Linked DNA regions of Drosophila melanogaster. The protein of the gene in region 1 interacts with the protein of each later gene in a pairwise test. Each region holds a gene or a part of one and is shown in the gene's direction. Other genes may lie near its edges.

Region 1 (3,067 bases):
CACCCAGAACTGTCTTCATCTGGGATCCAAATCATTTAGCCACACTTTCGGGATACTTCGAAAATATCACTCTGTCTTCAAGGTGAGTTTGTTGATTCGTATTAAGTTATATTTACTATACCCTCTTCTTCATCAATTTCTATATCATTTACGTTTCCATTTTGTTTTTAGGATTTGGTTGCAGGAGATCCAGAGAGGCAGGCCGCGGTCTTGAACGGAATCTTCGATGTGTGGGTCGCCAGCGATCAGTACAAATTTGTGGTGACCGAAAAGCTGGTCACGGGGTTGATAATTGAGCCCATTAGCGTTGTGCGTTGGATCTTCGGCCCATCGATGCGCAAGGAGCTCACCAAGATATACATTTGGGAGCTGCTCCACTCCGCTCTCCGCCACCTGAAGCGTGTCCAACAAAAGATCGAAGTCGTGGATGTCGATGATCCAAGTGCATGCGATCCTGTAGTCAAAGGCATTCTGTTCACCATTGTGCAGCGTTTTGTGAAGACTCTTTGCGGTGCTCCGTTTGCAGACGAGGGAACAGAGGAGCATTACTGGTTCCAGTGGGTTCTGGGCAGACTGGAGGAGACGCTCTTTATCTATGCGGATGACTTTAGGGTGATCAATAACAAGTTGATTAAAATGTCCGAGGATGCATCAGATCTCAGGCCTGAAATCTCAAAAACCATTGCGGCTTTTGTGGCTTGCGTCATGTAACTTCTGTTGAAGATTTCATTCCCGACTCTCGATTTACGAATTTGACAACCAACTGGTGATTTACTTATTCAACGGACAAACTCAATATACACTCCCAAAAAAAAAATGTGTACAAAAAACACTATACAATTTTAATAATTTTTTATTACTTTGGGAGAAATAATACTGCTATCAAAGAAACTTCAGTGGTGCTTTTTATTTATATACTTTTAGTGGTTAGGTCTTTAGCTTTTATTAATTTTCAGAGGAAACGCTTTTTTTTTATTGGTGCTAGTATTTTTCGCCACAGTGTATGACTGCAATTTTTAATTTAATACATCGCAATTTGAAAAAGAATTGCGCGCTAATCTCTGCTATGTTTTTAGTATTTTCGCAGCCTATTTTGAAGGGATGTGTATCGATAATATCACAGAATACTTTATTATCGACTACAATCGAATATGTCGGTGTAGAAATAGCTTAAGATATTGACAGTAAAAAAAATGTAAAATATGAAAAACTTTCTTTGTATGGCATACTGGTATACTGTACGAAACGGCGCGCCTTTCAAATGAAATGACCAGTGACATGTGAAGGTATTGCCATGGATAAATACATTTGATGTTTATCTAACCCCACTGTTGAAAATATGTTATTACTAGTCAGAATCGTTCGTTTCACTAGCGGCTTACATGTACATAGATGAAATGAATGGAAAGTACAATTATAATTATATATCATTAATTAGGAACGTGCAAACATTATGATGGCTAATATAGTGTGACTATACATTTAAAGATCAGATTAATGAAAAAAACCCATATCTTCCTTGTAGATTCATATCATACGCGTGTCAAATAATAATTATTGGCATTTTTATATATTTCACGTGTGTCGCTTGAGTGCTATTTAAGGTTAAGCGAGACGCAAAATCAAATTACTAAAAAAGTGAAATATGGGGTGCGAAACTTCAGTATTATGCACGTTGCTGATTTTCTTCCAAATTATTGGTCGGTCATTTGAAATGAGCCACGATTTTGTGCCCATTAAAGATGATTTACTAAGTAAGTGCGAGGATAAGCCAGAAATGGGCTATTTGGATGCATTCGTGGATTTATCCAACTTCAGTCGCAAACGAGGTCCTGGTGGAGTTAATATATCAGGAAACATAACAACAATATGGGATGTGGATCCATCGGATGTCGTCGAGGTGAGAGGCTTTAATGCATTTAAATAAATAAACTTCCTCCCCAACTAACTGATTTTCAGATTGATGTTAGCATACTGAAGTTTGAAGGAGATAAGTGGATACCAACAATAATTAAAGGGAATGTTAAGGACTTTTGCAAGTCCTTTTACGACAAGAACACTCTTTATTACTCCTATTCGACAAAACACGTGGTTAACAAGAAGGAAGCGAAGGAAAAATGCATTACCACTCCAGGAGTAAAGATATACACCACTTAATCCACTATAACTCAATCCATTTACATACATTTAAATTCCTTTTTTCTAGGCAATTTTGCTGTGGGAGCCCTATCTCCTGAAAATATCATTCAGCTATGCAGTTCCCCTGAATGTGGGGCGGCACAAGGCCGTTCTTATATTTACTGCCATTGACAAAGCCGGAGTTAAGCGTGATAGGGACATTTGCATGGAAATCGTCGGTGACATTGTAAATGCCTAATCGTCATGGACCTATTTCTCTGAATTCGTTTAAACCTAATAATGATTATGATTTTATTGTTTCTCAACAAAGGTTTTGGTGGAGGGTTAATTTTTCTGCAACAACAAATTACTTTTGTTAATTTATTAATAAACAAAAAATTAAAGAAATGCTTAATTCCTTTGTTCTTGTGATGTGATTAGACAAATGTTCTAATTACGGAAAAGGTACATTTTAAAAATGCTCTGATCTTTCTGAAGATGAAAACTTTTCGTCAAGAATAGGTTGTATTATTAATATTATCCTACATATACCTTATTGAAATTAAAAGAAATCGGTAAATAATAGCCTCACCACTAGGTGGAGCTCGAGTGCTATCTCTAAAGCAGTTCTCTTGCTGCTTGCCGAAGCAGTTGATGCGCTGCTTGTCGAAGCAGTTGATGCACTGCTTGCACATTGCGCTCGCACAGTCATCAACTGACTACCGGGTATATCCTCTTGTATTGTCCACCTCCATATTCCTCTTGCTAGTAGTAGAATAGGGTATATTACATTCGTTGTAAAAGGTAAAGGGAGCGTTTCCAACACATTGAACTTGTTCTTGGTCGTAATTACTCCCCGAATCAATCTGGCCATGACCATCTGGCCGTATTATGAATCCGTCAATATTGTACTGATATAACTACACATATAGCTACGATACCGTTTTAC
Region 2 (3,373 bases), about 12 Mb from region 1:
ATTAGAAGTGACACGGTTAGAATTATATAAAATCGATTGATCTTAGAATACGTTAAAGTTATTACGTCAAAAGGCATTAAAAACTGGACTGCATTTAAAACTGGACTACATTAAAAACTAAATACGAATGCCATTATTTTACCTTTCGTAACCAGGGGACAGTGGATGTTCAACATATCCGGCATTCCAAGCGATGGAAACCTATTTTCCTTACTTTGTGACCGCAATACCCTCTTATATGGTCGGCGTAATAGGTTTTACTTACGTATGTAGGTATTTGTATAATAGAAACACACACTTAAATCAGCCTCGAAAACGAGCAGATTACCATTTCTCGGTTCTCGGCCGGAGTCCACATCAGTCGCTATTCCACCGACGTCGATAACACTTAGATATCCGACATGTTTGCCCATATGCTGGACTTCCTGAATCGATCGCCACCGGATCCTGTGCGTCTTCCGTTGACCAGCAGCCACTGGCCGGTGTTGACCATCCTTGGAATCTATCTAGTCTTCATAAAAATAGTGGGTCCTTGGTTTATGCAGAATCAAAAGCCCTACAATCTGGATAGAGCTATCAAGATCTACAACATCGTGCAAATCGCATACAATGTCATTTTGTTAATATTTGTAAGTAATGCTCTTTTTTTTAACAAAAATATATTAATATTCATTATATGTATCTCCAAATTTAAAGAGTGTGCACTTCATGCTTGGTCCTGGCAACTATAACTTCAGTTGCATATCCAATCTGCCGTTGGATCATGAGTACAAGAACTGGGAGCGTTGGCTCAGTTACTCCTACTTCTTCAACAAGCTCATGGATCTGCTGGAGACTGTGTTCTTTATATTCAGAAAGAAGTATCGCCAGATATCGTTCCTGCACGTTTTCCACCACGTATACATGGTGTACATAGGCTTCTTGTACATGTATTATTATGGATACGGCGGCCATGGATTCTTCTTGATCACCTTCAACGTGGTGGTGCACACCATGATGTACACCTACTACTACCAGTCGTCCCTCAATCGGAACTCGGGTGGCGATCTCTGGTGGAAGAAATACATCACAGTCGTTCAGCTTGTCCAATTTGTTATTATATTCTCGCACAGCGTCTATATCCTCCGGCAAACTGATTGTCAAACATCACGATTATCGGCAACTTGGGGCTCACTGATATCTGTAGTATTTATAATTCTATTTAGTAACTTCTACGTTCGCACCTACATTCTTCCCAAGAAAACGAAATCGGCGGTGGGCCGATGAGCAAAACTAATTAAGATTTAATATCACTGTTCCTTACATTAATCAATGTCATTAATAAATGCTTTTGATACAACAAATTCATTTGTTTTATATCATTGTATATATCGTATATTATACATAGATATATATTTTACATAAAGCAATGGGAGATATTTGTTGGTTTCTAGAACTCTCTATCCACTCGACTGCTTAATGCTATTAAATATGCAAAATACCCCTTTAATTGGGTCTCGCCAGTATTTTATAAATGTAGAACACTTTTTTTGTTGTATTGACAATAATGTCAAAAGGAGTAATTTTGTAAATAATGGCACTGCTGATTAATAAAATGTTGAAAATAAAAACGTAGTTGAACTGTTACTTATATTGTATTTAGTTCGATTTGCAAAGCTTTAAGTATTCAAGTTGAAGGTTGATAGTGGGTTAAACATACCGGAAATTTGCACTAATGTAATTAGCAAATAGGTAATAGTATAGTGGCTATCGTGAAAGAAAGAAATCACAGAAGGTAAAAGTCAAGTCACTCGTTAAGTCGTGCGCGAAAATGTTCGAGGTGTTCGATAAGCCCTTCGCCGATCCTGTCCAGCTGCCGCTGGCGGGCAGTATCCGCACCTCGGTGATCATCATCACGGTGTATCTATTGTTTGTGCTCAAGCTGGGCAGGAAGCTGATGGACAAGCATGAGGCACTCCAGCTGCGAGGTGTGCTCAAGTTCTACAACATCGGACAAGTCCTGTTCAATTCGGTGATTTTTGTGTGGGTACGTAAGTCGAAGGATATCGATATACACAGTTTTTTAATCGTTTTCAATGGATTGCTCCATATTACCCAGGGCATCCATCTGTTATTCGTGCAGAAGCCGTACAACCTGAGCTGCATGCAAGTCCTGCCGCAGGATCATGAGCTAAAGTCCACGGAAAGGACACTGTCGTACATGTACCATCTGAACAAGGTGCTCGACCTGATGGACACCATATTCTTTGTGCTGCGCAAGAAGCAGCGCCAGATCACGTTCCTCCATGTGTTCCATCACGTCTTCATGGTCTTCACCTCGCACATGCTGATCCGATTCTACGGTTTTGGTGGCCATGTCTTCCTGATCTGCATGTTCAATGTTCTGGTGCACATCGTCATGTACGGCTACTACTACGCCTCGTCGCAGAGCCAGAATGTGCAGGAGAGCCTCTGGTGGAAGAAGTACCTTACCCTGGGCCAGCTGGTGCAGTTCCTCCTGATGTTCCTGCACTGCATGTACACCTATTTCCAGCCAAACTGCTCGGCGTCGCGGGGTGTCATCTATGTCATAAGTTCGGCCAGCGCCTTCATGTTTCTGATGTTCACCAAGTTCTACATAAAGACCTACATTCGGCCGAAAGAGGTCAAGTCCAAGGGCAAGGTCAACTGAATGCACCTGCTACACTGTGATCAAAAACTGGTAATTCGTATGTACATAACTATTGGGGTGCATAGGAATGAAGAGTGTCTTTCCAACTTTCATACAATTTTTGTTATAAAATTCCCACCTTTGATCCTGTTTTTTTTTTGTATTATTTAATAAGAATGTATTTGTAATCAACAAATATTTTATTATTACTTTTACAATACATTGGCTTCTTAAATTAAATTTGAATTATAAAGTGATACATCATTGGTTTCTCTGAGTGTACTCGACAATTTGCATATGCGCCGTTTGAATAATAGATGAATTCAAATGCATCGACAGTTAATTCAAATGCAGTCGAAAAGGTCAAGGAGTTAGACTCCGTCCGGAATAAATCCCATCGGCCACATCTCGACTACTCGTGGTTTCCATCGTCGAATCGAGGGGATTCCCCTTGGCACGTGATCTGCATGCTCCGCAGAACTTGGACCGAGCACGTCTCTGGACATTCCATGCTGCATTTAATTAGAATATTAGGAACGAGCCTGGCCCAGCACCGGCGATTTATGGCACCGGAAGGGTCACCCGTGGCCGGCCGAATTTGCATAGGAATCGCATGCGGCGAATCAGAGTCAAAGTGCCAGCTGAATAATTGCGGCCATGCGGCAACATTAAAGCGAAGCCGCAGTCAAGTGCAGTGGTTCCTGGTTGGGCACTAGCTTTTCG
Region 3 (4,428 bases), 4.3 Mb from region 1:
CCGAGGCGGGATTCTATTGGACGGGCACCAAGCGGGAAAACGACACTGCCACTTGTTTTGTGTGCGGAAAGACCCTGGATGGCTGGGAGCCCGAAGATGATCCGTGGAAGGAGCACGTGAAACATGCACCCCAATGCGAGTTCGCCAAGCTATCGTGTCCCGAAAGGAATTTAACCGTATGTTCCCCATGACTCCCGAATCCAGCTGGCATCCTAAACTTGTGTATAATTCTTGCAGGTATCACAATTTCTGGAAATTCTTGGAACCGTCGTTAAAGGCAGCATAGAGAAAACCTGCAAAGCCTTCAAATCGAGCTTCGTTCGGGAGAATGAGAAGCGTCTAGATGAGTTTACGCGTAATCAAAAATAGAGCGCTAATTTTTAAACCTTAAATATACATATATAAAACTCGCTATTTATCAAGATTTTTAATAAAACGCAATGTTAGTCCATCGAATGTATTTATAAATTAAACTGTAATAGGATTTTTTTTTAATTGCTTATTTTAAACCAATCTGTCTCGTGTTCAATTTAAAAACTTCAAGGTCGTATATGGTCATACTGAGTCTTCTATGTGGAACAGCTGATTAAAACCAAATCCAATGCAGCTTTTAAATCCTGCGATTTGTTGTCCTGTTCCGCTGAAGCAAACGTTATGCTGAAGCGCAAACTGAACCAGCAAAAATGCAATCTGGAGATTGGGGAGCCCACTAAGACATCCGCAAGGCAGGGCAGTACATCGGAATTCTTTGATAAGCCGCTGTGGCTTAAATTCTACGAAACCGAAGTCAAGTTAAATGAGGCGCTGGAAAAACTGAATCCTCCTGAGAGCACACCGTTCATCTACAACCCGATAGTATATGCATCCCAGCTGCACTGCGACTATTTACGTCGCTATATGGACGGTCCCAAGAAGCTGGTATTTGTTGGCATGAATCCAGGGCCCAATGGAATGGCCCAAACCGGAGTAAGAGCTTAATCTTGTAGATTATCCGAACATATTGATACATTGACGCGCTCTGCTTCAGATTCCCTTTGGCAATGTGCGCACAGTAAAGTTGTTAATGCAGCTGGCTGGTTCGGTGGACCAACCTCCAGTCGTGCATCCCAAACGTCCAGTCGCTGGCTTGGATTGTCGGATTGAGGAGCCCAGTGGTGTGCGTTTGTGGGAGCTGTTCCTCCGACTGGCTGGCAGCATGCAGACCTTCTCCCAGCAGTGTTTCGTCCACAATTTCTGTCCGCTAGCTTTCTTTGGCGCAGATGGCAGGAACATAACGCCCAGTGAAATCAGAGGAGCTTACAAAAATCAGCTAGGAGACCTGTGCCTGCACACCCTGGAGGAACAACTGAAGCTCCTCCAACCCGACGTGATTGTGGCCGTTGGGGAGTATGTTCACAGCGCACTGAAGCGTTCAGGATATGCCAAATCCAATTGCGTTTCGGTGCTCCGACTGCCGCATCCTAGTCCGCGTTCTACTAATAATACCAATTGGCCCGAGAAGGCTCAAGCATTTTTGGAGGAGCACAACCTAATCCGATTCATGCGGAATGAGGCTTGAAGCAAAAATGGTCAATTATTTAGATAGTATTTACATATCTGTATCTGTACAAATACATTCTATGTATATATAAGGATATTACTGCACATACTATAACTTTAAAGCTCTACATTTATAAGTGAGTGGCAAAAGAGAATACATTATTAATAATTTCAGTATTCTATTGAAACAGAATTCTCTATTTTATTTTGAGATATTATTTATTTGCGGGGAATACCCCAAATACAAAAGGTGACTTCGCTTTCCCACCGTGACCGCTCGTACAGTGACCGCTCACCGTGACCGCCAGCTGTTGCGCAGTGCTGGAAAGTGCCGCCTGAGTGAGAGCTACCCATTGTTTTTGTTGACCTGGTCATTTCATCTCATCTGTTTGCGGCTTTTCACCCAGTTCGCCCGAGTCTATTTCCATGCCAAATGGCCGCCTTCATGGAGGAAGCGTTAGTGGAGGCGAGGCGGGCACGTGACGCCGGCGAGGTGCCCGTGGGCTGTGTGTTCGTTCATGGGGACAAGGTGGTCGCACGTGGCGGGAACGAGGTGAACGTCCACCGGAACGCCACTCGCCACGCGGAATTCATTTGCATCGACGCTATCCTCGCCAGCTGCCGCGAGAGACGTCTGCCGGCCCGCCAGCTGTTCAGCGAGATCACCGTGGTGGTCACCGTGGAGCCCTGCATTATGTGCTCCGCCGCCCTGCACACTCTGGGCGTCAAGGAGATCATCTACGGCTGTGAGAACGATCGTTTCGGAGGAAAGACGGTCGTGGATGTGGCCGCCGTCGTTGGCCATAGGATCGAGATCACGGGCGGTGTGCGGGCGGATGAGGCGATGGCTCTGCTAAAGGATTTCTACAAGGGCGACAATCCGGCGGCACCGCCACAGGCCAAGAAGAAAAAGTAGGATCAATTGTCGAGGCCAAAAGCGTGCGTGAAGAAGGGGTAATTATAAACCTAAAGAATTTGCTAGAGAGAACGATACAGTATTGGTTTTTCAGGAGCATGAATGGAGTCAACCACTGATCCTCAAAGAAGTAGGAAGCTATTACAGTCATTGAAGTAATATTTAAAGTATGATAAAACTATAGAAAAATAGTAGAATGCAAAAGTCTACGTTTTCGTAAAATTCAATTACTTCCAAGCCTTCCAAAATCCGGAAACGAGCAGATTACCGAAAATCCGAAGGCAAACCTCTAGTTTACTCATTATTTCAGAGGGAACAAGCCAAGAAACGTATTTATCTTATAAAAGGAATAGTATTCCGTCGAAATCATCGTGAAATAGAGAACGAATTTCAAAAACGCAATCAGAAATGAAAGTAGTTAGAATACATAAAACTACAATCGCATAAAGAATGAAAACATTAGTGCTCCAGTCATCTGCATCCTGGAGGCATACATCCGAAAGTAAAATAAGTACCACTGCATCATTCTTCGACGATTTCTGTATATGATTCAATTTATTATAATCTTTAAGCATAGTCTAAGATATATTGTATATGGCGTTCAGAACGTATGTTTTAACTCTAAGCATAAATACAATTACTGCATGAAAGCTACAGCATTTACGTGTGTGTAGTGAAGGCTGTGCCTGTTTCCACTATAGGAAGACTACTCAAAACCTTTTGTTTCCTTTTCAAATGCGTAAAGTGCAGTCTCGCTAGCAGTCCGACACCAAGAATCTAGTTTACCCTCCAACAATCGAAGCAATATATATTATAGAAATATATGGTTGTATTATAGGCTAACTTGTTTTAAGTTCCCACTTGTAAGATAAATGTCGGAGGGCTGCACCCGTGCTTAACCTAATGTAATTTCCCTACGTCCTAAGCTAACTCTTCGGTTCGATCGTTTGCTGCGCCAGCTTATTGCCTCGATCGCAATCAGCTAGCTGCCAAGCTGGCCATCAAGTGCTGGCGCAGCAAACGAACAATGGCGGGCGACTAAGTGAATCTAGACTAAATCTAATTAAATGCGCATGCTGCGGCGTCTATGGCCAATGTTGAGCCACTCCAGCGGCACGTTTCCGCCCACATTGTAGGTGGTGGGCGTGCAGTTGGGCAGCTTGCGGGCGGGCTCGCATCGTCGGCTAACGTTCCAGTAGGCGAATCCCTGCGGACAGCGGTGGATCTGGCCTTCGATGCGACCCGTCAGCTCCGAGAATCCGCACTTGACGAACAGCTGGCCGCACTGGTCGTTGTTGAGCGCGAAGTGACCCTCATCCGGGCAGAGCGGATCTGTCGTGCTGATTTGAACCTGTTGATGGTAAAATAATTAAATTGTATTATTTCATTATGGAATGTAGACTAGACTTTACAATTATACGACTTACCACATTCTGAAGTTTCGTTTCCTCTTCAAACGCGTTGGTGGTCCTCTTCATGTCCTTGGAGCACTTGTCACCTGCCGGTGGCTTGCCACAGCTGCAGGACTTGTCTTGGTAGACGGTTCCGTTGGGGCATTGGAATACCACGATGTTAAGATCATTGTTATCGGCACTTTCGCTGCACTGGTAGAACATGCCGCACTTCTCCGGATGCCGGCGGAATCCAGTGGGGCAGACGTACACGTTCTGACCTGGTCCGGTTTCGGGACAAGGAGCAGAGGTATTGGTACTGGGAGCAGGACTCTCCGTAGTGGTAGGCGATTTTGACGTTGATGTTTCTTCCCCAGCTATGGTAGTGGTTTCAGGCTTGGGTGGTTTTGTAGTGGTTTCAGGAGTGGCTGTGGTGGTTGTGCCAGAAGTAGTAGTAGTGGTTTCGGAGGCTACTGTGGTGGTGGTTTCAGGAGACGATGTAGTGGTGGTTTCAGGAGCCCATGTTGTGGTGTTTTCAGGGGCCTTTGAGGTGGTTTCAGGTTTTCCAGAGCTGGTTGTACT

What was found.
Region 2: the proteins of CheB93a (region 1) and CG16904 interact in a two-hybrid assay, tested with the Drosophila melanogaster proteins (one large-scale study listed by BioGRID).
Region 3: the proteins of CheB93a (region 1) and CG5292 interact in a two-hybrid assay, tested with the Drosophila melanogaster proteins (one large-scale study listed by BioGRID).

Annotation. Positions count from the first base shown.
Region 1 is NT_033777.3:21,405,807-21,408,873, forward strand, and holds CheB93a (chemosensory protein B 93a), read left to right. Parts: upstream 1-1,638; 5' UTR 1,639-1,645; coding exon 1,646-1,900; intron 1,901-1,959; coding exon 1,960-2,136; intron 2,137-2,206; coding exon 2,207-2,377; 3' UTR 2,378-2,518; downstream 2,519-3,067. Other genes in the region: CG7907 (uncharacterized protein), read left to right, coding at 1-82, 172-711.
Region 2 is NT_033777.3:9,815,395-9,818,767, reverse strand, and holds CG16904 (uncharacterized protein), read left to right. Parts: upstream 1-1,788; 5' UTR 1,789-1,810; coding exon 1,811-2,026; intron 2,027-2,098; coding exon 2,099-2,671; 3' UTR 2,672-2,840; downstream 2,841-3,373. Other genes in the region: CG9459 (uncharacterized protein), read left to right, coding at 402-629, 697-1,266.
Region 3 is NT_033777.3:17,150,002-17,154,429, forward strand, and holds CG5292 (uncharacterized protein), read left to right. Parts: upstream 1-1,859; 5' UTR 1,860-1,972; coding exon 1,973-2,455; 3' UTR 2,456-2,493; intron 2,494-2,549; 3' UTR 2,550-3,518; downstream 3,519-4,428. Other genes in the region: Det (deterin), read left to right, coding at 1-176, 238-369; Smug (Single-strand-selective monofunctional uracil-DNA glycosylase), read left to right, coding at 655-966, 1,028-1,558; Mur89F (mucin related 89F), read right to left, coding at 3,519-3,806, 3,883-4,428.